3 linked regions of the Arabidopsis thaliana genome follow. The protein of the gene in region 3 interacts with the protein of the main gene of each other region in a pairwise test. Each region holds a gene or a part of one and is shown on either strand. Other genes may lie near its edges. The genes, in order: AMT1;2, TET11 and AT4G23740.

Region 1 (6,389 bases), on a different chromosome or scaffold from region 3:
TCAATCCAAAAACTATTTCAATTAACTTCTATATCTTATATATAATTTTCTCTCTCTGTTTATTGCTTAAGGAAGATTTTCTAATGCTAACTATGAACTCAATAGAATCTGATGAGTTTGGAATTTGAATTTTTCAGGGGAGAGGATTGTTTTTCAGGATGATAAGGATTGGGTTCGAAGAGATGTATGTGGGATCCCCAGGATCGATGTGGGACAAGTATGGGAAGCAACATTACTTCGTGTGCACAGGTCCAACGTCAATGCTCGTTCCTGTCGATGTAGCCTCCGGAGAGACATGGAGAGGAGCAATGGTAATCGAGCATGATAATTTGTAAATTTCATTTACTATAGTTCTGTCTTCTTCATTTTTTCCCTCTCTATTTTTGTTGCCATTTTTTCTTCTATATATTCAAAACATGTTAATGACTATACTAAATCAATATACAATAATGAACTTAGTAAATCAAAGTTGATGTAAAACAAAATTGTCTCAGAAAATATATGAGTTGCGGATTTTTATTTTATTGATTTGTAACGCAACTTTTAATTAAGTAAGTACAAAAAGATTTGTGATATTGCACATACTAAATAAACTTATAAGACATTGATATGTCACAGTATTTACCTTTCTCACTCTAATTTTAATGTTTTCTGTGTTTTATCGAAATTTTTATTTTTAAGTAGTATAACGGTTCTAGAAAATGAGTTTTTTGAGGAAAACTGAAAAACATATTACAGCAAAATAATATTGTTGATTGAAAGTCCCTTCTAGAATAGATCGACAACCCCTTTAAAGGCAATATGAGGCAACACTGCCGTTGAAAAAATTGATCGACAACCTTATATGCAATATTCGACACCTTTGTATAATATTCAGTGTAATTTGGTATGAACAGTTCGTATCCAACCGCATATTATTATTTATATAAATAATATTCTCCAATTTTGATTTATACAAGCTAATCTAACAAAGTTGTCGGGAAAATAAATTAGTTAGAATCGTAATTAGCAACAAAATACACAAATAATGTCAAATAAAATTCTAAATAAAACAAACATCTAGGTGGGAGCTACTCAGATTTGTATGTAGTATATAAGATCAACTTTTAGTGGTGAATAAATGGGTGATGATAAAAAGAGAGGACGAGAAGACAAATGATAAAATTGAACGGTAATTTATGGCAAATGGGAAAAAGGATAAAGTACATACGAGGCTCCGGACCATCCGTTTTCTAAAGTAGTAATATACTAATATAAATATATTTATATTTTCATATTTAAAATATTAGTTATTCAGAAAATTTGACGACCAATCAACAGAAAAGAATCATTGAACCAATGGATACCATGGAACTAGCTAGAAGCCTAGAACCATAGGTTATGATATCAAATCCCGAATCATGGTTACGTATTATGTGGTTTGAACAACAACAAAAAAAAAGGTTACATAGTTTTGTGGTGATAACATAACCGATAAGTACCCAAGACAACTTTCTTATGATCAGTATGTGATAATTTGATAAGCTCGTCCACAAAAAAAAAACTCGTTTATAATAAAACTCGACAATTCTGATTAATTTCCGTTGGTGATTATTGATTAACATTCTAACGTTCATTTTATCAAAACAAAACATGCTATCGTACAAGATTTTTTTTTCCTCTCTTTTCTTAACATTTAAAATGTCTCAAGACCGCTCAAATTCCAATGTTTAATTTTGATACCAAACGTTCACTTTAATTAAAAAGACATACTGATCATGTTATTGTTAACAGTTCCACACTATCTGTCCACAACAGAGCGATAACCAAGAGAAAAAAAAAGAAGAAGAAGAAGACCAATAATACACAAAGATGCGTCCAACATGTTTGGTGCCCGAACTCTTGTCTTCACCACATTAAAACTGACTCGTTTGGGACCACTCAATTCTCCAATCAAAGTATCAAACAGTCAAGGTCGGTGTAGGAGTCGAGCTCCGGCTTGTAGGCTCCACTCTTCCAGCGAAATGACCCCATGGTTTAGTCGACACGTCGTCTTCGTCATTGTATGCGTAAGCAAATCCTCCATGACGTGTCATGTCCATTCCTGCCATCTCATCTTCTGCTGATATCCTCAAAAGATTCATCTTATGTAACCCATAAAACAACGGTCCCATAGTTACCGTCACCCACCCAACGATCACAATAATCTGAACGATCTGCGCGGCGAGCAGTTTTCCTCCCCCGCCCATGAACAGTCCGTAAGGCCTATCACCGGAGTAAATCTCGTTAACGTATTCTTTCCTTGCGAACAGCCCGGTAAAGATTAATCCCCATGCTCCACATCCACCGTGGAGCTGAGCAGCCTCGAGTGGGTCATCATATTTAAGTTTCTTGGCAAGCAAGTTAAATCCGATTAAAACCCATGATGCCACAAAGCCACATACTATAGCAGCCCACGGCTCCACCACGGCACATCCGGAGGTTATAGCTGCAAAGCCGCCTAGAAGTCCGTTGCATACGTCAATAACGTTCCAATGACCTGCTAAAAGCCGTTTACTGAATAGAGTAGTCAACGCAGCGGTGCAGCCAGAAAGCGTTGTGGTGACCGCGGTGCGACCTACAGCGCTCCATTGACCATAATATGGCCGAGACTTGTCGTAGCCTTTAAGAATGGTTAAAAAGGAACCAGGGTTAAACCCATACCATCCAAACCACAACAAGAAGGTACCAAGCACGACAAGGGATGCACTGTGACCACGTAAAGCCACGGACCGGCCTGACCGGTCAAATCTACCTATTCTTGGTCCTTCAACTAACGCTCCACATAAACCGGCAATTCCACCTACCATGTGAACAACTCCTGAACCTGCGAAATCAATAGCACCTGAGCCAAACAAGAGATTGTTGTCAGACCGGGACGCGCTAGCCCATCCATCACTTGACCAGAACCAGTGCGAGACTGTCGGGTAAACAAAACCGGTCAAGAAAGTAGAGTAGATAAGGTAAGCAACGAATTGCGTTCGCTCGGCGATGGAACCGCTAGTGATTCCGGCCGCGGCTATGGCAAAAGCCCATTGGTAGAGGAAAAAGCTGAAGTCGGAGCCGGGGCGTTCAGGGTAAGAGCTTAAAGCGAAGAAGCTATGGTGGCGACCGATGAATCCGTTGGAAGGTGTACCAAAGGCGAATGCGAATCCGAAGAGGTAGTAAGAGATGGCTCCAGCGGCAGCATCAAGGACATTGGTAAGCATGATGTTCATAGTGTTCTTGGCTCGGACTGATCCAGCACAAAGCATAGCGAAACCGAGCTGCATGGCAAAGACAAGGTAGGCGGAGAAGAGGAGATACGTGTTGTCGACGGCATAAGTTGTGTCGGAGAGTTTGTTGGAGATGTTTGAAATTTGGGAACATAAAAAGGTTGCCGCGGCGAGGGAAGATGTTGAGTTAGAAGAAGAGGATAGGAGGGCAGATAGATCTACGGCAGAGCATGTGGTGGTTGCGGTGTCCATGGTGGAGAGGGAGGGAGGGAGAGATAGAGAGAGGGTACTTGATTGTGGAACGTGTTTGCTTAAGTGAGTACTTGTGGTGAGAGTGTCTTTGGTGTATTTAAAGTGGAAAAAAGCATATTTATTTCGTTACATCACAAAAAGTTGCGGTACTACTTACTCTTCTTCTAGTTGAGGTTTTAAAAGAAGTTTTCTGAATTTTAAAATTCTAGGTCTCTGGTTTAAGTTTTTTTAAACAGTAGTAATCAAACTAAAATAAAATTAATAAATTTGTTTTGGTATAGTTTTGTTTTAGTTTCTATTCAGTTTTGAACATATTTAAAGTTAATTTTTTAAAGAAGATTTTTTTATTTTAATAAGATATTTAATCAGTTTTTGTGTGCAATTAATTTTGGTTATACGAATAAAAAAAGAAAAAAGAAAATTCTTATAATATTTCGTTTAGTGTTTGAATCGTTTATTTTAGTATGACAAGGAATCGGGTCAGCATTTGTTTATGAGAAACAATTAATTAAACATCGCTACATAGAAGTACGACATTAAAGAACAAGTTCAAGCATATGACGATATGATTCTTTTAAATGAATTTGTATGTCTATTTTTCCAACTCAATATTTTATATGAACTAGTTAATGTTCTTACAAAGGAGAAATAATTTATTTTTTTTGACGGCACGATTCAAAGGAGAAATAATTTGATTTCTTTTTTGGAATTAAAATAATTTGAAAAATGTAATTTTTCGTTTCGTTTGTATCGATGAAGTCAATAGTTGATAGATCATGAATGATGTATCATTTATATGAATGTGATATAGGGGGCAAGGACGATCACTCAAATAGTTATAAAATTATCACGCTAGATTAAATATAAAAATTATTTTCAACTTGACTACAACTACTTCACAACTGAATACGTAATTCGACTTGAATAATAGGCATTATTTGATGCTGTGTGATTTTTAGCGCCATTTATTTTTGTATTTTTAGTTAATCAAACAAATATGTTGTAATTTGAGGTACCGATTTCACATAGAATTTATATTGCACTACGTATTAGAGAATAAACTGTTAAAGCTACAAACTATATATAGGGTTCAATTTTGTGATTACAGGAAAAATATATATGCAACAAAGGAAAGATGAACAGATTCAATAGTAAAATCGTATTAGGTTTTCACGGAATCACAGTGATAGTAGGAAATCACGCAACAAAGAAAAAAACAAAATGAATGGACATATGAACAGTGAAAATGTTTTTATATTACGTTAAATGTTTTTAAAATGCGATTTATGAAAAAATGGGTAAAAATAAATGCGATTTATGAAAAAATGGGTAAAATTAGAGTGTTATCAGCAAGATCCGATCCAAAACCAATTGTTACTATGCAGGATAATGCGAGATGGGCATTCGAGTCAGGTTCTGATAAAATCCGATCGGGTACAGGTTTTTTTGGATAGAGAAGTTTAGGATCCAATAGAGTAATTCTAAAATATCGGTTTGATTTTGGTTCGGGTCCAATCGGGTTCGAATATAGATTTTCAGGCCTTTTTTGGAATCGATACCCAAATTTTCGAATAAATACCCGGATTTTCGGATTCGGGTCGAATTCGAATTCGGTTTTTTGGTAGAGAAATTTAAGACAAATAAGATAAATCTTCGAATTCGGATCTAATTTTTCGGGTCGGTTCCAGTTTGAGTAATCGGTTCCGGTTTTTTGCCGCCACTAAATTTGCTAGAGTCAAAATATGGTAAAAACTGCCGCAAAAGTGAACCGCTAACCACGTGATTAAATACACTTTTCTGGTAAACAATATAACTTTGACGGTCATTCAAATGCTGAAGGACGTGTTGCTCACTAGCATAGTTTATGTCATTCTACACAAGAAGATCTAGTCCTCGTAGCTTCCAAAAATTTTCTTTTCTACTCCTGGAAGATAATCGTTTCTTTTCATCCTTCAAACTTACCAAACGTTTATACGATTAACATAGGGTTTTGTCTCCAGCGATTATTTGATTTATGTGTGCTTTTGACTCTTGAAAACTTCTTCACGTTCTCTGGCATTACGTATGAAGACATAATAAAAAAAAACTCTATTGCATTTCTCCATTACTTTTTTTCATCTCAACTTAGATAGTTTTTCAATTAAATTTATCTGATTATATTGGTTTATCAACCTTTTTAATCCTACGATTGGTGGGGATTATAATATAGTAATAAACAGAAAAGATAAATCCTTAACGAAGATAAACCCACAGAAGGCAATGACAGACGAAGCCACAATGTCGCACTAAACGAATTTTAGTAACAAATCATATTCATAATACAATAACGTAATTAGAAGATTTAGTAGTATAATCTAGTCTGTTATAGACTGAAAGCAAAAACTAAAGACGCATAAAATTTAACCCATTTGAGACATTACCATTTAACAAAATCGAAGTACCCGTATCAAATAAAAAAAATGAGATGAGTGCTTCTCAACAAAGAACACAGAAGGATCTGATAATCCAAAGTCAGGTATATCTATATATTGTATATTGACCTCTGTGTATCTATATTCTCATGCGAAAGAAAAATGATACAATTTCATCCGCGACTCAAGGGATTATGCTTAATGAGCCTCTCCTACAAAATGGATTCAACAGAGATGGCGAAAACATGTTTCCTCCTACCCACTTACATTATCATCATCGCTTTCACTGTCATCGCTGCAAATGTAACAAATTGTACTTAACTTTCAGACCAAGGGAACTAAATTTACCCATAACAAGAAAGATTTGATCAGTATAGGGCTTCACGCATTAGCTAAGGTTATAGATTTTATTATTCGTAAGTATATCCACAGAAGGATGAAGAGAAGCCAAAACTAAAGCCATCGGACTTGAGCATATTTTTTACCATTGTTA
Region 2 (5,465 bases), on a different chromosome or scaffold from region 3:
GAGCAATCTAGCTTTAAGACCTGGTGTTATGAATTCGATTTTCTATAAAAATGAATAAATGAAAAAGCATAAGAAATGATCACGAATTAATTTTTAATCCAAAGTAATCAACAGCAGATTTTGCCATAATTGAAGCAAACTCTCCAAAGCTTATAACACCATCACCATTTGTATCAGCTTCTTTGATCATCTCCGTTAATTCTTTATACGTTAATGGTTGACCCATCTTGGCCATTGCTCCTGCAAGCTCAGCCGCACTTATGAACCCGTTACCGTCTCTATCGAACGATTTGAAAATCTCGAGTAATTGCTCGGAATTGATTAGGACCTCTTCGTTAAGATCAGGAAGAATTGTACCAACGAGCTCATCGAATTCGACAAAACCGTTGCCGTTTGAGTCCATGCTAGCTAACAAAACATGGATTTGATCGCCGGAAGGTTTGAGACCGAGTGACCGGAGAAGTGCCGCGAGTTCTAAGATTGTTAAGCTTCCGTCTGCGTCCATGTCGAACCGGTCGAAAATGTCTTTAAGTTGTCTTATCTGATCCTCCATTTTTTCTTTCTTTCTTTAGCAACACAAATAAAAATCGATTAATCAATGTTGGCGACGAGAGAGATTGATGAGACAAGAGGTTATGATTGTCAATGAAGGGTGTGCCAGAAAGGAGATTTAAGATTGAAGTTTTGTTTCTTTTTGAGCACGTAGAATTTAGAATTCTGGATCTTTTCTATGTTTTAATGTTTTGTTTGTTCTTTTCTTTTTCGTTGGTTTGTTAATGGTTGCTGATAAAAATAGATAAGACCACATATTTTTTTTTTGTTTGAGTTAGATTGGTACTGCTATTGAAATGTGAAAATTCATAATGATTCTTTTTGCCTTTTTGGTAAAGAAAATCATATTGATTGTGGTGAAACAAAAACATGACATTGTCCTAAGAAACATAAAGATAATTAGAATTGTGACTAAATATGTGAAGCATAAGATTTAAAATAAAATTAAATGCCAATGGTTACGACTAGTGAAATGTGATAAATTCATGATAATTGTTGAGAAACAGAACATGACATTGTCCAAAGAAAACAAAAGATAATTAACTTAAAAAACCAAACAAACTAAGAAAACAGAAAAACACAAGAAACTGAAATTGAGTTGTTGATCAGACAGAATCACTTTTCCTAGCCGTCCGATTGTTACGACGAGCACAGCAACCGCAGGAATAGACGGTTATGAGGAGAATGAGGAGACAAATGTTGAAAACAAGAAGATTCCTCCACTTCTCTCTTATGTTCGCTAACACACCCGCTTTGCATGCGTTGCAGTTGAAACATAACTCTGTTTGCACGTTGCTCCACGTACCACAGTCCCCGTTTTCCGCAACTGCCGTTTCGTTTTTGCTCGGCGGTATCCAGAACGTCGCGTTTCTGAACTCGAAGTTGCAATCCGATGGTGGCTTACAACAACCTGACTGCTCATACACAATCAATACTTGAGTTACACAACCCATTATGAACAATAAATTTAACGGCTTAACATATAAGTGTTATCTTAGTTCGGCTAAAAATTGTCTTGCTTTTGTTACTATATGCAAAAACTTAACAATGAAATTTAATCATACTAAGAACGATGAAATGAACCTAGACTATTTTTTATTGATTTGTCTTTACATATATATATACTAAAGAAAGCAAAAGCTTTGATTGGTCTTCCCTTTACTATATTTATACAAAAATATCAACAAAGAAATATGTTCATACAGAAAATCGATCCAAAACAATACCTGGATGGGAGACAAGTTCTTGTGATAAAACGCATCAGCGATCTGACTAACACGACCATCACTCAAATCATCACAAACGTTAGCCTCAGCCAAACAAGACCTTATCCCAACCCATCTCTTCCCACCAACGAACCCATTAAGCCACGTCGAGAAATCCACCGTCCGGTACTCTTTATACCCTCGACCGGACACCACACGACCGGCTCCTTTGTTGGTCACAAAGAAGAGAAATATGGAGAAAATCATCAATGCAACAATGCCCCCAAACAATATGATCAAGTAGGAAACCATTGCCAAATTCTCCTTGAAACAAGATCCAATCACTCCGAGCAAAGACACCAAGAAGAGGATGAGTCCGGTCGTGAGAAGTGGTATCCGAATGGCAGATTCACAATCAGTGACGCCTTGGTGAACGAACATGTAAATCGAATAACCAATGGCCGAAGCGCCCACTAACATCACCAATGTGTTTGCTAGACCAACCATGAAATTGCTAACTCGAAACATTTTTGGAAATTTGCTTTCTCCAAATGATAAACTCGATTAACCTGATCGGATTTTAAATAGATACGGAGAGGGAGAGAGTGTTTTTTTGTTGTTGTTTGAATTTGATAATTATGTTTCGTAACGTTTTTAGTGTGTGTGTGTGTTTTTAAGTGTGTGGAGTCGTGGTTATTGGGGAAAGAGGGAAACGGTTGCTTTTTTGGTAGTGGGTTGATGATATTAGTGGAGATTATTAGCCATTGGTTTTAGAGATCGTGTGGGGGTTAAGAAGATCCTTTAGTTTAGAGGAAGTCGTTTAATTAGATTTTGACTAGGTCTTACTGCCACGTAACTAAGACTAATAATTAAACTGTCACTCGACTTTTTAAACATTGAATTTAATAAGAATTTATTGAGTACGAGATTGTTGGGAAAATTACATATAGGTTTATGTTAATTTTATTTTTAAATAAAAATGCATATTAATTCATATTTTTGTTACTTGGAAAAGGAAAAAACAAACTAAATAAGTAAATATATGAATAATAATATGTTGTGAAAAAACGTTTTTCAAGGATAAAACTCAAATTCGTGGGGGGTTTATAATATTCGTTAAGAATTGATGGAAGAAAATCCAAAAATTTATTATTGCATGGGTAAATAACACAACCATTTTATACCCTGGTGACATCTAGGAGATTTTCTTCTTATTTTGATCTTAACTTACAAGATTGATGAAATTAGTGGAATTCCAAAACGCATCTCACGTGACAAAATAACTACTTCTGGTGATAGCTCTGGTTTAGTCAGAATAGATTATAGATACCAAACATTTGGTGTATCCGAGTATTTACTTTAAAAGACTCTTCCTCCATCGTTAAGATTAGAAAAAAGAAAGAAAAAGGTGTTAGTTAATATTGAAGAAAACTAATGAGAAACTAGAATTAAATATATATCATGTACATTTGATATGGAAAAATGAAATCAAGAATAATAGCCCCTATAATCATCAGGTTCATCGAAAGTATCCATAATGGACCTGGAAATGGCGAGGCTGAGACAAACGAGAAAGAGGGCAGGATAAGAGAACATGGAGAGATATTTCCATTGATGAACAATGGCTTTTAAGATGCTCATCTGGCAACCTCTGCAACTGAGACAGTATTCGTAAGAACATTCTTCCGGAACATGGTTCTCTACGTGTTGATGTTTCCAACTCCATTCTCCTGGTTGCCCGAACATTGTCGTCACTCCACATCCTCTTGGTTGCGCGCAGCAATACCTCTATATATATCATCATTGTTAGAGAATTGATCTTTTATTACGAATGAATCAGGATGAGGTGACATAATTAAGTACTTACCCAAACATTGCTGTTTTGGCTGGCATTGAAGTTACAGTCATGGTTATGAATGATGCACTCCGTGACTTTTGCAAGTTTACTTTCAGGGACTAGCCTGCCTACCAATTGCTTGGCGGTTCGCTTTTCCTCAGCCGGGTTCTTGGCGATTCCAAAGGTTGTGTTGTAGATGAAACACTTTAAAGAGTAGCCACCAAGGACAATGCTTACGAATATCATTGCATAGATGTAGATTGTGAACATACGTTTTGAGTGACAACAGATTGCGTAAAGAGCAAACTGAGGAATCACCAGCAAGAGCAAACCAATGACGACGAAACTGCCATCCGTTTCTCGGATACATTTCGAGACTGTTTTTCTGTAATATAAACCTGTTCCCGTCATTGTTAAGCCTATGCATATAAGGATTATGGTCGCCATTGTTAAGAACCCTGTTCGTATCTCTGACATTTTTTGCAAATCAGGAAATCTAAAATGACTCGTAGAGTATATGATGTTTTGACTTGTGTGATATATGAAGAGGTTGTAACAAAGAGACAAGGAATCAAGAACAGAGAGGTATCAGTTTTGTTTTTGAGTTTTAAGACCTTAGTTTAGTCTAAAGACAGCTTTTTGAAATAGGTTAAAACTGTTTAACGGTTGGTTTTTATTCCTTATTCTAAAACCATTATTTCTAAAAATAGAGATTCAAGTTAAATCAAGATATATATAGTACACCAAACTCTTTTGACATGCAACTTCGATAAACAACAAGCAAACTCCGAAACTCCAGTTATTACCAAACTATGTACTTGAAAATAAAAGAACCTAACTTCTGTCTGACTTTTTGGTATTTGCCGGAAAGATTTTTAATTCAGGCAGCGACTCTGTTTTTTTGGGAAGGGATTTTTGTGGCGGAGTTTTCTTTGAAGTCCATCATTTTGTTCAAAGCTCCAACATAAGCTTTGACGCTTGACACCACAATATCCATTCCTGCTCCAGTTCCACTGCCAAACACAAGACAACCGGTTTGGTGTTATAATACAAGCAAGAATCAACAAGAAACAATAAACTTCGCAGATAAATCGATCCGGTTTGAATGAGATATGGGGCAAAAGAGGATTTTACCTAAAGGTTCTTTGAACCTCTTCACCAGTTATTGCGTTTGTAGATGAGTATTTGTTGCTTCCACGGATAAGAACTCTTGTGGTTGCGATGGCATCAATGCCTTCTGTTACTGCATTCATTGAGTACTCAAGCAGAGTAGCCGGTTCCTAAAGGGGGAAAAAGGTTTTCAATAAGCGATGACCCACTGGTGAGTTATTTGTAGATGAGAGCCTCAGCGGTATAAACAGTACCTTTACGATAAGATCTACTGCCTTGTAAGCTGAATCCACAGGCCCAGTTCCAATAGAACAAGCGACATGTTCTTTGCCATCAGCGTCAGCAAGTTTTACAGTTGCTGTTGAAAGCCCGAGAGTTCCACAAGTTATCTGCATTCCACTTTTAAGTACCATGAGAATTGGATAAAGACAATGAACAAGAAAAAAGAGTAAGAAAGCACATTATGATCCCAATTTCACCTGAATGTCCAGGAGTTTCCACACGGCTTCTGGCTGGAAAACTTCATCAGATACTAAAGCTATTATGTCCGCATCAGTAACTCTCTGGATCAGCAAGGGAACATATACGATCAGAAGACATTACATTAACAAATCAAGAGCACTAGAAAATAGAAAGAGTAATCCTCTACACATCCTAAGTTTATGCAGCCAGAACTAAGGAAACAAAGTACATTCCAAATTAGCCACGGAGACTCAAGTCTTATAGGTCTAACAAAGCTTTCAAAATGGCTGCGAAGCTTT
Region 3 (7,383 bases):
GGTACGAGGAGGAATCCCTATATGCTTTCCTCAGGTATATAGACTTTTGAAAAGTAACATGTAATATTGGACATGAATAATCTTGGTTTTGATCACATTTCTTTATATTTTTTTTATTCATAAGTTTGGAACTCGGGGATCACTTGAGCAACACGGGTTTGCAAGAAACAAGATGTGGCTTGTAGAAAACAATCCACCTGCTTTACCTTCATTTGACTCAACTGGAAAAGCCTATGTTGATTTGGTGCTTAAGTCATCTGATGAAGATACGATGAGGATCTGGCCTTACAGGTAGGTTGCAAACCCGATCAAATGATTTTATTTTGATTCCTCGATATGATCTGATTCTTTTCATTTCAGCATGATTAAATTGCTATTGCTCTTGTTTCAGCTTTGAGTTTCATCTGAGAGTCTCATTGGCATTAGATGGGAACCTAACACTGATATCACGAGTCAGAAACATCAATTCAAAGCCTTTTAGCTTTTCCATTGCTTACCACACTTACTTCTCCATTTCCGATATTAGGTGAAACACCGAATTTAGCCTCTACTAGTCTCTGCTGTCACATAATATAACGTAGAACTCAATACATTCTCTTTTCTTTTGGTATTTATCAGTGAAGTTAGACTTGAAGGGCTGGAAACTCTTGACTATCTTGATAATATGCATGATAGAGAGCGGTTCACAGAGCAAGGCGATGCATTAACCTTTGAATCAGAGATCGATAGAGTGTACCTAAATTCTAAAGACGTGGTTGCCATTTTCGACCATGAGAGAAAACGCACATTCCTCATCAAGAAAGAAGGTCTACCTGATGTCGGTAAGATCCAAATACCGAAAACCTTAACCGCCCTTTTTACCAAGAATCCAGTTTTTAACAGTATTAGATTCTCGGTTTGTTGCAGTGGTATGGAATCCATGGGAGAAGAAAGCGAGAGCATTGACGGATTTGGGAGATGATGAGTATAGACACATGTTGTGTGTGGATGGAGCAGCCATTGAGAAACCCATCACCTTGAAACCGGGTGAAGAATGGACCGGGAAATTACATCTCTCGCTTGTTCTTTCCACCTAAAACCCGGTACCGGTTATCACAAACTCTGTGTCTTTCATTATCTTGTCTTGTGGGCTATTTTTTTTGTTTTAGTCTATAGAACATCACAGTGTGTGTGATTCGTCGGTATCAAAAATCCGAAATATTAAAAGGAAACCTGAGATTTGAAAAGGTCACCCATTTTTAGGAAGTGACTAGATCTCCTGGTTTTGTGCGAGATTTAACTTGTGTATGAAGACAATGTTATATACTATATTGAAGTTTGTACTTATTTGATGAAATCTTCAATAATACTAGATTTTAACCCGCGGTATATCGCGGGGACAATTTATTTTTTTAAGTTAGTATATATAAAAGTTTACAAATTATATCTATCTATAAAATATTTTTATTTTATAGTTTACAATTGTTATTAAGTAACGTCCTATCAAATCCGTCCCGCCAACCTGTCCCGTAAAAAAAACTCATTGATCTCATTTATGATATGTTTATGAATCATTGTTTAAATATTTTGTAATTTTGTAGTAATTAAATGCTATCAAATATTTGTGCGGTTTGATGATTATAATCGAATTGTTATAGTCATGTAGAAAAACAATATCAAAAATAATAATTTTGTAGTAATTCAATGATATTAAATATATTGGAAGTTTTATTTTAGTAACTAATCGTGTAGTTAATGTAGAGAGATTTCGGGAAGATTTTCAAATATTTAATTCAAAAATTTTATTTTTAATTATCAAAACAAACATTAAAATCCAGTGGCAGCTATTGTAAATAAATCTCAACTACAAAATTTATTTCACAAAATGGCTGCAAAAATGTATATGTAGATTTAAAGCTTTCTTGTTCTCATGGTTGACAATTCTTGAATAAACCATTTCTGAGACCATAAGCTAATTTTTTTGGGTACATATTTCAAGTATAGGAACAAAACTATAGTATAAAATAATCTTTATAGATTCAAATGCTTTAATGGCCTTATACTCATTGCCTCTCAATGTGGTAAGATGGTGTAAAATCATCATAATAATCATGAAAGATTTGAAAATTATTGGTCTATTATGATGCACTATAAATTCTATAATTGCGTCGGTCAAATATTTAATACACCGAAGAAATAGTAATATTATAAAAAGAGAATATTTATTGATGCCAAAAAGAAACCAAGAATTTTATTAAAATGGTAGAAGTCGATATGCTTTAAATGCCTTGAGCTTCATTATGACAAGTACTACAAAACAAAAAAAAACGTATTTGCCTAATACATTTGGTAAGTTAAATAATTTCCTTCTTAACATAATTAATTACTATATCGTTCTTTTTGTTAGCGTTGACCAATTAAACAACCGGTTATGTATATCTCGGTTCAGAAAACTTAACCGGTTTAACAAATAGCTAATGTTCCGATTAATTTACATTACTTCAGAACGAATCGAACTTTGTAAAACGAAGATCGATTACAAATTGAAAGATACAGCCTTAATTTGGCATTAAAAAGTTCAATGGTCCCCGGTTCGGTATTAAATAACCGGGTACGTACAGACTCACCGGTCACCAACCTGTAAACCGTATAAAGAAACAATAGAGTCGCATCAGTATCTTCCCTCGTCACTTTCACCCACTTTAATATGCCAAAAAATAAGAACAAAATTATATCCGTTGCTTGAAAATCACAAGCTCTTCTTAACTTCACAAGTGCTTCAATGGCGGTTCTTCACATTATCTTCACTGCGTAATTGAAGAAGTTGTTCTCTCTTCCTCTTAATTTCGAGTTGTGTTCTTAAAAAACTCCAGAGCTGATTCGATTCTCGAGAAGAAACTAAGCCGACAATAAAGTTCAGATCTGGAAAAAAGCGAGGTTACCAATTCTTTATTTTTAATAAATTTAATCTCGTAGTAGAGTTAGGGTTCTACTTTTCGACAATTTTAATTACCAGAAATTCTAGGGTTTATGTGAGTTTAAATTAAAGCTTCGTCATTTTCGAAGCTTAAAGTTACTCACTTTTTATGTCTCCCACTCCTGTTGTATTTTAAAATCTCCAGTGGTCACATAGAACAACTTCAAGATTCCACTTTTGCTTTTATAATCAGCAGTCTTCTAGAAATCTGTAATCTTTTCGCTTTTTTGGTACCTTTTATTTTAAATTAAAGTTCACAAATTTTCACCATTTATATGTCCATCATCATCATCACCACAATCAAATTGAGCTAAATTGGTTTTTGATTGTTGTTTTTCTCCAGCTCCAGATTACAAAAAGAAACAGCTCGTTTTTTTCACTTTCAAAAAAATGGAAGCTTTGAGGATTTATCTATGGAGTCTCTGTCTCTCTCTGTGTTTGATTATCTATGGAGCAAACTCAGATCCATTAGAAGACAAACGCGCATTGCTTGAGTTTCTTACCATTATGCAACCAACTCGTTCACTCAACTGGAACGAGACTTCTCAAGTCTGCAACATCTGGACCGGAGTTACTTGTAATCAAGACGGATCTCGAATCATAGCCGTTAGATTACCAGGCGTTGGACTCAATGGTCAGATTCCTCCAAACACTATAAGCAGACTCTCAGCTCTCAGAGTTCTTAGTCTCAGATCCAATCTAATCTCCGGCGAGTTTCCTAAGGATTTTGTTGAGTTGAAAGATTTGGCCTTTCTTTATCTTCAGGATAACAACTTGTCTGGTCCTTTGCCATTGGATTTCTCTGTTTGGAAGAATCTCACTAGTGTTAATCTCTCAAACAACGGGTTCAACGGGACAATCCCGAGTTCGTTGTCTCGTCTTAAGCGGATTCAGTCGTTAAATCTTGCTAACAATACGCTTTCTGGTGATATTCCTGATCTGAGTGTGCTCTCTAGTCTGCAGCACATTGACTTGTCCAACAATTATGATCTTGCTGGACCGATACCAGATTGGCTTCGAAGGTTCCCGTTCTCGTCTTATACAGGCATTGATATTATTCCTCCTGGTGGTAACTACACCCTCGTTACGCCGCCACCACCTAGCGAGCAGACTCATCAGAAACCGTCGAAAGCTCGCTTCTTGGGACTATCCGAGACGGTGTTCTTGTTGATTGTTATTGCTGTTTCCATTGTGGTGATTACGGCTTTGGCGTTTGTGTTGACTGTTTGTTACGTAAGAAGGAAGTTAAGACGCGGTGATGGGGTCATTTCGGATAATAAGTTGCAGAAGAAAGGTGGGATGTCTCCTGAGAAATTTGTTTCTCGGATGGAAGATGTGAACAACCGGTTATCGTTCTTTGAAGGATGTAACTACTCTTTTGATCTTGAGGATCTATTGAGAGCTTCTGCTGAGGTTCTTGGTAAAGGCACGTTTGGCACGACGTACAAAGCAGTTCTTGAAGATGCAACTTCTGTTGCTGTGAAACGTCTTAAGGATGTTGCGGCTGGGAAACGTGATTTCGAGCAGCAGATGGAGATCATTGGAGGTATTAAGCATGAAAACGTTGTGGAGCTTAAGGCATACTATTACTCTAAAGACGAGAAGCTAATGGTTTATGACTATTTCAGCCGAGGAAGTGTGGCTTCTTTGCTTCATGGTACGTTTCACTTTTTGATCTAATGCATCATAACTACTATCAGAATCAAACCCATTTGCTTTAGGCTCATTGTAGAGTTGAAATGTTTTGGTTTTCAGGTAACAGAGGAGAAAACAGGATTCCTCTAGACTGGGAAACAAGAATGAAAATAGCTATTGGCGCAGCTAAAGGGATTGCTCGTATCCACAAAGAAAACAATGGAAAACTCGTCCATGGGAACATCAAATCTTCGAATATATTCTTGAATTCCGAGAGTAATGGCTGTGTCTCTGATCTTGGATTAACTGCTGTAATGAGTCCCTTGGCTCCACCGATATCGAGGCAAGCTGGTTACCGTGCACCAGAAGTAACCGACACAAGGAAGTCTTCTCAATTGTCAGATGTTTACAGCTTCGGTGTTGTTCTACTCGAACTACTCACGGGAAAATCGCCCATTCACACTACCGCAGGTAACGCTACAACCCGAAGTGACTAGACTGTTTCAGCTGATATATTTTCGGTTTAATGATCATTCTGTGATGGACATTGCAGGGGACGAGATCATCCACTTGGTTAGATGGGTACATTCAGTAGTGAGAGAGGAATGGACCGCAGAAGTATTCGACATCGAGCTTCTGAGGTATACAAACATAGAGGAAGAGATGGTTGAGATGTTGCAGATTGCAATGTCCTGTGTTGTGAAAGCAGCAGATCAGAGGCCAAAGATGTCTGATTTGGTTAGGCTCATCGAGAACGTTGGAAACCGACGAACCAGCATTGAACCGGAACCCGAACTCAAACCCAAATCCGAAAATGGAGCCTCAGAGACTTCAACACCGAGTGAAATTTGAATCTATCAAAATTCTAACTGTTGATTCATCATCCCATATTTTACATATGAAGTTTGTATACTCCTGTGTTTATTTCTTCTCTCTTCGGTTTAGAACCGGTTCAACAAACACATTTCTGTTTAGGAATTCTTGGTTTTCAAAATTCGCTATGAAATAGATTCAAATTTCTGATTCACAAGTTTGTTTCATCAAAGCCTCTAAACCAGGGAAACCAACTGCTTCAGAGCCCAAAAAGCCCATTGGGCCGATATAATTATACAGAGTCGACAAAGTTTTATTTCTAGTACTTGTTTGACCCATAATCTTCTTCGGCTAGAGCCCGGCCTGTGATCGAACCGACAAAATGGAACTAGTGGTCTCAAGTAATGCGATATTTGGAGGGTTCTAACTTCTAAGAAGCACCACAAGCCAGCCTAAGACCCACATGGTATCCTCAGGATCATATTTGAATGGAGTTTGGACTAATAATTTATGTTTTTCATATTATCTATTTTACTGAAATACTAACATTTTCTGAGTCAAAAGAAAAGAGTTCATACAAAATGTTTTGTCGTGAATTGTGTTTTGGAGCCTTGGAGGAGGAACAGGTAGGTGGCAGGGATTACAATAGGAAGGAGACAAATAAGGCAAGTTACAACGTGAACTTGATTTGTCTAATTCCAGAAAATGACGTGTCCTTGCTGCTCATATACTGCAATAAGGCTTCTCTTCTTCTTTCCAAGTTGCGAAATTAGAAACCTAAATATATATATACAAGAAAATCTGAATCTCAAAAATGTGTCAATTTTATGTAAATCCTTAGGTCCCCACGAAATCGGTGGATCAACATGTTATTTGTTTTACTTCTCCGCTGTTAAACCGACGGCTTAGTTAAAACCATTTAGTATAATCTCATCAACCAATCTATCTTCTTGTTGAAAATTTAATAATTGACTACGATATACAACTTTTACCAATGATACCTTTTTGGCATACGTGAAAACTACTACAGTAGAAGTTTATATTGTAAATAACATTATTTTCCTCGTGATTAAATCAAACATGAGATAAAAAATAAAATAAAAATTGTTCATTTTACATAGGTTTATAAACCATTGTTTTTTCTTTTTCAAAATGTTATCCTTTATATTGTTAGAGAATTAAAGTTGAATCATAACTTTCTAACGAGTAGAGCAGTTCGAATAGTATAGTAGTACACTCTTGCAGTACTTGTTAAAATTCATACTGTCTCTACTGATGAAGAAAACAATTATCTCTTGAATTTATTTTTGTTATGAAAAAACCAAATTATCTTGAATTACTTCAAAAATAACATGAGAATAGTATAGTAGCACACTCTTGCAGCAGTACTTGTTAAAATTCGTATTGGCTAATGATGAAGAAAACAATAATCTTTTTTATTTTTGACAAGAAAAATAAACAAACAAAAAATCTTCATTTAATAAAAAAATAACATGAGAATAGACATAACAGTCAACGTCCACTTGCTTTATATGTTCCTCTTTGCCTTTTCTCAAGTCAGGGTCAAACCTGTTTAGGTGGTCTGTCGACAAGTTACACAAAACAAAAGATAATTACATGTAATTTTCCGCAAATAAACAATTGCCTTGTTAATATGTTAATTATCAAAATAGTGATAGAAAAAGGTCAATTCCGTGCGTCTACCAAAACAGTGATGTGGAATATAATAGACCAATGGTTCCTGATTTTCTGGTAAAAACTGAAAAGATTTTTACCCTACCCTCTATGCTATGATTAGTTTTTTTCTAACTCCGAAAAGTTTTTGATGTTTTTCGTATAATTTAGCAACCTTGTATTAAATTTGATTGGTTGTGTAGTCCCTTGAAATACGGAGTCAAACTAGACATTGTATCTCATTTTAACTTTAGTCGTTAGCACTTTTTATTTACCTTTGCAAAGATATAAAATATTTTGTTATT

What was found.
Region 1: the proteins of AT4G23740 (region 3) and AMT1;2 interact in a protein complementation assay, tested with the Arabidopsis thaliana proteins (one large-scale study listed by BioGRID).
Region 2: the proteins of AT4G23740 (region 3) and TET11 interact in a protein complementation assay, tested with the Arabidopsis thaliana proteins (one large-scale study listed by BioGRID).

Annotation. Positions count from the first base shown.
Region 1 is NC_003070.9:24,059,081-24,065,469, forward strand, and holds AMT1;2 (ammonium transporter 1;2), read right to left. Parts: upstream 3,725-6,389; 5' UTR 3,486-3,724; coding exon 1,941-3,485; 3' UTR 1,560-1,940; downstream 1-1,559. Other genes in the region: PnsB2 (NDH-dependent cyclic electron flow 1), read left to right, coding at 138-325; ILA (ILITYHIA), read right to left, coding at 6,152-6,191.
Region 2 is NC_003070.9:6,371,871-6,377,335, reverse strand, and holds TET11 (tetraspanin11), read right to left. Parts: upstream 2,431-5,465; 5' UTR 2,286-2,430; coding exon 1,779-2,285; intron 1,467-1,778; coding exon 1,158-1,466; 3' UTR 1,003-1,157; downstream 1-1,002. Other genes in the region: AT1G18530 (EF hand calcium-binding protein family), read right to left, coding at 80-553; TET16 (tetraspanin), read right to left, coding at 3,246-3,545, 3,625-4,071; MAML-4 (methylthioalkylmalate synthase-like 4), read right to left, coding at 4,475-4,607, 4,729-4,874, 4,959-5,093, 5,184-5,267. UniProt on the Arabidopsis thaliana protein: May be involved in the regulation of cell differentiation.
Region 3 is NC_003075.7:12,363,717-12,371,099, forward strand, and holds AT4G23740 (Leucine-rich repeat protein kinase family protein), read left to right. Parts: upstream 1-2,365; 5' UTR 2,366-2,916; intron 2,917-3,134; exon of another isoform or gene 3,135-3,299; 5' UTR 3,300-3,346; coding exon 3,347-4,613; intron 4,614-4,711; coding exon 4,712-5,062; intron 5,063-5,144; coding exon 5,145-5,443; 3' UTR 5,444-5,622; downstream 5,623-7,383. Other genes in the region: AT4G23730 (Galactose mutarotase-like superfamily protein), read left to right, coding at 1-34, 125-291, 392-526, 619-821, 889-1,076.